Linked DNA regions of Rattus norvegicus. The protein of the gene in region 1 purifies or fractionates together with the protein of each later gene. This does not show direct contact. Links are inferred from orthologs where the notes say so. Each region holds a gene or a part of one and is shown in the gene's direction. Other genes may lie near its edges.

The links.
Region 2: the proteins of Mos (region 1) and Fkbp5 purify together in Homo sapiens (affinity purification with mass spectrometry; 3 studies listed by BioGRID and IntAct, counting the BioPlex papers as one, with this or other methods). This does not show direct contact. The link is inferred for Rattus norvegicus from reciprocal best matches to the Homo sapiens genes MOS and FKBP5.

The regions. Positions count from the first base shown.
Region 1 is NC_086023.1:21,656,786-21,660,100, reverse strand, and holds Mos (proto-oncogene serine/threonine-protein kinase mos), read left to right. Parts: upstream 1-1,244; 5' UTR 1,245-1,414; coding exon 1,415-2,443; 3' UTR 2,444-2,552; downstream 2,553-3,315.
Region 2 is NC_086038.1:6,540,473-6,544,970, reverse strand, and holds the start of Fkbp5 (peptidyl-prolyl cis-trans isomerase FKBP5), read left to right. Parts: upstream 1-1,415; 5' UTR 1,416-1,502; intron 1,503-1,553; exon of another isoform or gene 1,554-2,051; coding exon of another isoform or gene 2,052-2,078; intron 2,079-4,498. UniProt on the Homo sapiens protein: Immunophilin protein with PPIase and co-chaperone activities. Component of unligated steroid receptors heterocomplexes through interaction with heat-shock protein 90 (HSP90).

The DNA.
Region 1 (3,315 bases):
CCTAAATGTTTACTTTCTTAATTTATTACATAAAGCATCGAGGCTGTAACAATTATATACTCTGTGCAAGATGACACTAAACCATATCATCACCATTAAGCAGAAACCTGGAGTTTTGTGAACTTTGAGTTTTTTATATAAATGGCTCTCTGTTATCAACTTGCCTTCTCAAAATCTGTGATTCTGAGGTCAGAAGGACACAGCTGCCACATAAACACTGACCACTTATCACCATGTGCACAAAAACACGTTCCTGCGTGGCTAGAAAGTGTAACTCCTAACCACTTTGAGAAACCGTTTTTGAATGAACAGAGCAAGGTTGTTGTTCTTCCCTACTCCCCGGAAGATAGGGCATGAAAAGCAAACACATTATTATAAAACCAAAAACGACGAATGTGTGGTTTGACGGCCAGACCCTGAATTTATGTTCAGTATCTGATGGGGACCAGTGACTCTGGGCATGTCTGTCCTGGCTTTTCTCCTGTTTCTCCATGATTGCTGTTATTTTCAGCTATGGTCATCACAATCACCTTTGTCCCTTTCTTCCTCCTTCCAACTCTGCGTTAAATTCCAGGAACTTGTTTGCTGTGAAGTCTAGAATCTGTCTTGAAGCAAGCTTGCTCTGTGACCTAACTTGCCTGGGAAAGGAAGGGACGGTAGAAGTCAGTGTGTTGTTAAGGAGTCTTAACTTGCTGTTTAAATGAAATACAGTGTCAGATTGCTCCCTTCTGATGGACTTAGGAGGTACGAGTTCTGCCTTCTATCCGAGATTGTATTTGGATCAAAGACATTAAAATTACAGATGTTAATTCTTATGAAGGTTGCATCTAATAACCCTGCCAAGTAGTTCAACAAGTGTCTGCTGTTTGTACTGCAACTCTTGCAGCCAATAGCTGCTGGGACTGATTTAATGCAGCTGGAGACTAGCACGAACAATCATTATAGCCTGAAAAGTGTGCACCAAGTTCACTGTACTTTTGCTTTTCTCTTCAGTCTAAGGACCAATTAATGATCGTCAGAAGGTCCTTGAAATGTTTTTTCATTGTATTATGATTCAAGAATTAGTTGGAAGGAGAGGTGAGCTTTGGGGCAGGCCAGTACTGTTTAACAGGTGAGAGGTTGTTTTGCTAAGGATTCACTTTAGCTGTGAGAGAGCAATCGTTTCATCTGAGACTGCCAGGCTTCATCTGCACGCCCAACCCCACCTGATAAAAAAAAAAACAAAACAAAAAAACAAAAAACCAACCTTGCTGAGCAGCAAGACGTGAGAGCACAGTTGTGGCTGGTTTTGAGAATACAAGAAGAAGGGAAATGGGATGAAGGCGGAAACCTTCAGCCATGCTTCCAAACTTCCCTGGGTGTTCCTGGTCATTTCTCTCTAGCGTCTCTTGTGACTGTCCCATCTGAGGGTGTAATGCCTTCGCCTCTCATCCTGTGTCGCTACCTCCCTCGCGAGCTGTCGCCAACGGTGGACTCGAGGTCCTGCAGCAGCCCCTTGGTGGCCTCGAGGAAGGCGGGGAAGTTCCTGGGGGCCACTCCTCCTCGGGCCCCGCGGCTGTCACGCCGGCTGGCCTGGTGCTTCATAGACTGGGGACAGGTATGCCTGCTGCATAGGCTGGGTTCTGGAGGGTTTGGCTCGGTGTACAAAGCCACTTACCACGGTGTTCCTGTGGCCATCAAGCAAGTGAACAAGTGCACCAGGAACCTACGTGCATCCCAGCGGAGTTTCTGGGCTGAACTGAACATTGCAAGGCTGCACCACGACAACATAGTCCGGGTTGTGGCTGCCAGCACGCGCACGCCGGAAGGTTCCAACAGCCTTGGTACCATAATCATGGAGTTTGGGGGCAATGTGACTCTACACCAAGTCATCTACGGTGCCACCCGCTCCCCAGAGCCTCTCAGCTGCAGAGAGCAACTGAGTTTGGGAAAGTGCCTCAAGTATTCCCTAGATATTGTTAACGGCCTGCTTTTTCTCCACTCACAAAGCATTTTGCACTTGGACCTGAAGCCAGCGAACATTTTGATCAGTGAGAAGGACGTTTGTAAGATAAGTGACTTCGGCTGCTCCCAGAAGCTTCAGGATCTGCGGTGCCGGCAGGCGTCCCTTCACCACATCGGGGGCACGTACACGCACCAAGCTCCGGAGCTCCTGAAAGGAGAGATCGCCACGCCCAAAGCCGACATCTACTCTTTTGGCATCACCCTGTGGCAGATGACCACCAGGGAGGTGCCTTACTCCGGCGAGCCTCAGTACGTGCAGTACGCAGTGGTAGCCTACAATCTGCGCCCGTCACTGGCAGGGGCGGTGTTCACCGCCTCCCTGACTGGGAAGACGCTGCAGAACATCGTCCAGAGCTGCTGGGAGGCCCGCGCCCTGCAGAGGCCGGGTGCAGAACTGCTCCAGAAGGACCTGAAGGCTTTCCGAGGGGCACTGGGCTGACTCCATCGAGCCTGTGTGCAGATAAGCTTTTCGTTTCTGTTTATTTTTAAATAAGTAAGGATGGGCTTTTAGGGCATATTTTTAGAAAATAAAGTTACTACAAACTTCAGCCTGAAGTGCCTTTCCTAAGACTAACGAGGGTACAGATATCATGGGCACCACTCACGGTTGTTAAACAACCTGAGCCCTTTGTGTGTCACCTTTCTGGGTCTACTGTATCATTTCCGTAGTAAGGTTTGTTCCTGAATGAAAAGAGAAAGGGGGTGGGAGGAGGGGGCACTACTCCTAGGAATGAAGGAGAAAGTTTATTGCGGATACGAGGGAGACATAGGACATAGTCATAGACATGGACATCTGGCTGAGAAAGCCCAGAGCGGACATGTTCCTGAGCCATGTGAGAAGTAGTAGGAGGAGAAGGGGGAAGGAAGACAGAAGTAGGTACAGCAGCTGGAAGATTCAAAACGGGAGGGGGAGCTAAAATGGATTATATAAGAAAGGACAGCTGGGGAAAGGGCAGCCCAGTCCCTGGGTTGGAGAAGTTTAGGGCAGAGGGTGGGGCGTGCCAGTCTGGAGCACTCTGTAGTAGACAGGGACTGAGGGATGCAGGGAGAACCTGGCAGCAGGTCCACTTCGATATGTTAAATAGGTACCTCAGCCCTTCGTCCTGGGTTTGAAAACTAACAGTTACTGATAAAGAATATTTTTCCAAAAAAGAATACCACTATAGACATGCCACATTTGCCCCCTGTTAATTCTCACAGGCCACATCTCCCCCACAACACACAGACACACATCTAAATTCAAGCTGCAGTTGAATTTACTGCAACAAAACAGCAAAACCAATGCGTTTTAAAAGAGCAGTTGTTAGCAGC
Region 2 (4,498 bases), on another chromosome or scaffold:
GGCGTGTTGTTGAATTCATGTGGCCACTCCCCAGGAGGTTGGTTAAAGGAGGTTTCCAATCATTGAGGAAAGGCGAGCGACTGAGGAGGACCCCTGTCTTAGACAGGGGTCTTTACACCAGTTTTGTCTTTTCCACAGTCGTCTTGGAGGATAGGGAAAGAAGGACCATATGATCACCCACATGGTGACATTTAGACATTTGATATATATCACCATACACGGGGGCATTTATCTTCCTGAGTTCTAAAGTGTGACAATACAAATTAAACCAAAACTAAAACAAAAAGCAGACGTGGAACCAGGAAACATGGATTCTCACATGGCTACAAGACATTTCATAGGCAATTGGGACTTTTACTCCCAGAGAGAGAGAGAGAGAGAGAGAGAGAGAGAGAGAGAGAGAGAGAGTGTGTGTGTGTGTGTGTGTGTGTCTGGAGAGATCCCTAGCTGTTATGAGCACTGGCACTTGCTGGTTGCTTTCCCAGCCTCTGGGAGAGCACAGGATGCTTACAACTCCAGTGACAGGGGATCCGACGCCCTCTTCTGGGCACTGCACTCACAGGATACACACACACACACACACACACACACACACACACACACACACACACACACAGACACACCCTCCTTAGGCAAAACACTCATCACAAACGTTCTTCTAAAAATCTTTTAAGAAACCAACAGTTAGAGCTGAAGTCCCAAGGTGCAGCATCTGAGCGTCTGAGGAGTCACCCAGAGGTGGCGAGTTGGTGGGGGAAGGGGTGCCATCTTGAAGCTGAACTTGGCTCAACAGCCCATCCTTTGGGTTCTTTTCTGACCTCATTACCTGCTGTGTTGCAGAGGCAGAGATCCCAAGGGAAAGCGTGGTCTTCACGCCCACTGGGTGTCCAGAGAGAGGTGCTAGATCGGATTCTTCCCAGTCTCTAAAGGAGCATCTTTAAGTTCATGAGGTTATTTTCCCGGGGTCAGCATGGCCTGACCTCTGCGGCCTCGTGAAGGACGGGCTGGGTAGACAGACGGACGAGGTAGGCGCTTGTCTGGTCCGTATTCTGTCTGGAGGCAAACGAGAAGAGGTATCAGTCAGCTTCCTCCATCCCTCCTCTCCGGCCCCCACAAAGGGCAAGGGCCAGACACGTGGGCCGCGGTGAAGAGGCGGGGATGCAAACGAACGGGGCGGAGGCTCATTTGCATAGACAGTGCGCGGCCACCAATCAGGACCGGCGGAGCGGTAGCCCGCGCGCCTTTTGGGGGCGGATTGACAGCCCCGCGGCCCTATGGGAGGCGGGTCCTGCGGCCGGCGGGGGCGGGACGACGGCGGGCGCTGCCCGGCGCACTAGCCGGCTTGCGGGCGCTGCCAGTCTCCGGCGGCGGTGTCCGGCGCGCGGCTGAGCGAGCGAGCGAGCGTGCGGACGGAGCGGCGGCCTGCTGGGCGGGCTGAGCGGCGCGCGCGGCGGAGAGACGCGAAGCGAGGGACGCAGTGGCGGCGGCGGCGGCGGCGACAGGTACGGGCGCCATTGGCCGCGGGGATGGTGCGCGCGCGCGCGCGGCGGACCCGGGAGCCGGCCCCGTGCTCGCGGTCCCGCTTCTGCCGCCCCTAGCGCGGCTTCCCTGGGGTGGCGTGGACGGGGCGTGCGGGAGGCCTGGGCCCCGCGTGGGTGGCGGAGCGGCCGGCGCCCCTCACCAGCGTCCCCCTCAGCGCGGCGCCGGCTCTCTCGCCCGCGCGCGGCTTTTGTTTCCCGCGCAGCCCACAGGTCCGGGGAGCCCCGTGTCGCTCCGCCACGCCGCCCTCCGGACGCGGAGGAAACTTGGCCTTCCGGAGCCCTGCGAGCCTCGCGGATAACGGAGCGCCTCGCCGCGTCCGCGGGGCCGCGCGATGGGCGTGCCGGCCGGGCACCGCCCTCACCTGCCGCTCCCGAGCCGGCTCGCACCAGGCAGGCAGGTGACCCGAGGGCCTCGGAGGTCCGGAGGAGGAAGGGCCAATTAAAAGTTGCTGTTCGGGCCTCTGAGGTGGCTGAGCGGGTACCGGCGCTTGCAGCCAAGCGTGACACGACATGGGTTCGATCCCCGGAACTGACATGGTGGGTAAGGCGAACCGACTCCCGCGAGTTGTCCTCTGACCTCCACGTGTACACAACACAAACACACACCTCTGACTCTGATGCACACGCTCATCTCTCACCACCCCACCCCCTCTCAATAATACTAAGGAAATAAAAGTTATTTTAGGAGTCTTCATTCCCTTCGGCCCAGCGATTATCACCACTCCTGTTCCGGCCATAGTGCATGACTCCAAACGCAGCATTTTGTGTGTGTTGGAGGGATGAATCTAAGGGAGCCCAATGCATTGTGATCATCTTCCTCCTCCTCATCTTCGCCTGTGGATGAGCCAGGTGGGGCGCTTGCGCCTCGTTTTTTAAATCATTGGTGTCTGCAACCGTGGCGAACGCGTTGGAAGAAGGTACAGATCGTAAGCAGAGCGTGCAGAACTTGGGACAGCCCTCGGCGGGGCTCGGGACAGTGTGTACAGCGCTTGGCCGCCATTCAGTAAATTCTGCATGCGGCAGTTGGGAGCTGGTGGTTTGGGGATTTTTTTTTTTTTCCCTTTCAGGAGTGTGTATTCCAGAGAACTAGGGCTGGGCGTCGAATGGGCGCTTTCTTTGCTTTCTCTAGGGGTGGGAGAGAGTGTCTGTTTCCATTGTCTCTATTTTCACAGGGTTGTGAACAAGGGAAGGGTTAAGGTGTGCTTGGGTTAAGTGTTTTGCCTCTTCCTTCCCACTTCTTGCTGTTAGCTTTATGTGTTGTTGTTACAAAATTGTAGCTTTTCCTCGTGGTGTCTGAATCAATTCAAGAAATGACTTGGGGGAGAAAAATCTTATTCTGGTGGGACATTCTTACCCTGTAATACTTTCACTTAACTGTTTTCTGTTACTCTCCAACCTGTTCCTCATTTGCCCAACATGCTTTGTGTGTGTGTGTGTGTGTGTGTGTGTGTGTGTGTGTGTGTGTTTGTGTGTGTACGCGTGCGCGGTATTTTTTGTTTTGTTTGGTATTTGAAATATCAAAGTTTTATTCCTTTGTTACTGGGAGTTTACTATTCCATTAAAACATACATAAAGTTCTGTAACCTAACACTCTTTTTTAACAGCTTTCACTTTGGGGGGTTCTACAGAAATGGGGTGCTTTAGCTGTTTTTAAGTACAAAGGTTAATAGTAATATTGTTTGTTAGAAACACTCCAATTAGTGTTCTCCCCTTTGTCTTCTGATGTGTCATGTGTGGTAACTGCCTTGGATATAATCTATACTTCAGAGATGTTGAACTTCAGAGCACAGTTAATTTTTATTTAATTACACTAATTAATTGAACAATCATTTTATTCATCTAGCTAATTTGAGTTAGCTATTAGTTGGGACCACTTGAGATTATTATTATTATTTTTTAATTTTGCTTCGTTTTTTGAGACAGGCTTTCTCTGTGTAGCACTGGCTGTCCTGGAACTCACTCGGGAGACCAGGCTGTCCTTCATCTCAGAGATTCCCCCTGCCTCTACCTCCCAGAGCTGGGACTAAAGGTGTTCACCACCACTGCCCAGCCACTTGAGGTAATTTTAAGTTAATCCAGGAATATTTTCTGCAAATTGTTTTAACACAATAGATTCATTAGTGGGGCTTTTGTCATTCCAACATTTAACAAAAGGATGTTTCTCTAGTCACTTTTTAGATTTTATCTTTCGGTCAGTGTTTGTGAGAGAACTTGGCACAGGTGTGGTTGTCAGAGAACAGCTTTGGAGTTTTCCTCTTGCCGTGTGTGGGTCCTGGACTTCCAGTTCCGGTGGTTTGGTTTGTAGGCTCTTTCCTCCGCTGAGCAGTATCACCAGCCAGCATTTCTTTTTAAAGACAGTTTAAACCACCTCAACATGAAAAGCCTAGGGTTCGGGATTGGGCAAGTCAGTTACTTTTTTTTTTTGTTTTTAAAGATTTATTTATTTATTATATATAAATACACTGTAGCTGTCTTCAGATACACCAGAAGAGGGTATCAGATCTCTTTACAGATGGTTGTGAGCCACCATGTGGTTGCTGGGAATTGAACTCATGACCTCTGGAAGAGCAGTCGGGTGCTCTTACCGCTGAGCCATCTCTCCAGCCCCAGTTACTTTTGAAGATTTTCTTTATTCTTGGGCTGGAAAAGAATGTGTATTGTGTCGTTAGTTCCTGAAGGCGAGTCAGGGGGATGTGTGCCGCCGAGCTTCAGTCAGCTGAAGCTCTGAGAGTCTGAAAGCTGATACAGGGCTCTTCCCCAGCAGAGCCGGCTCACCCTCCCTGGGCTCTCTCTCATTGCTTTAGGTGACTTAATTCTACTTTAGTGTTCTACCACATGAAATTGGAAGGTTTATAATGTTTTATCCTAGGTGCTGCATAAATGTTCCAAAGACCATAAGCTTATTACTTTTTAATATTTTTGTTTTTAAGATTTGTTTATGTGTTCGGGTATTTTGC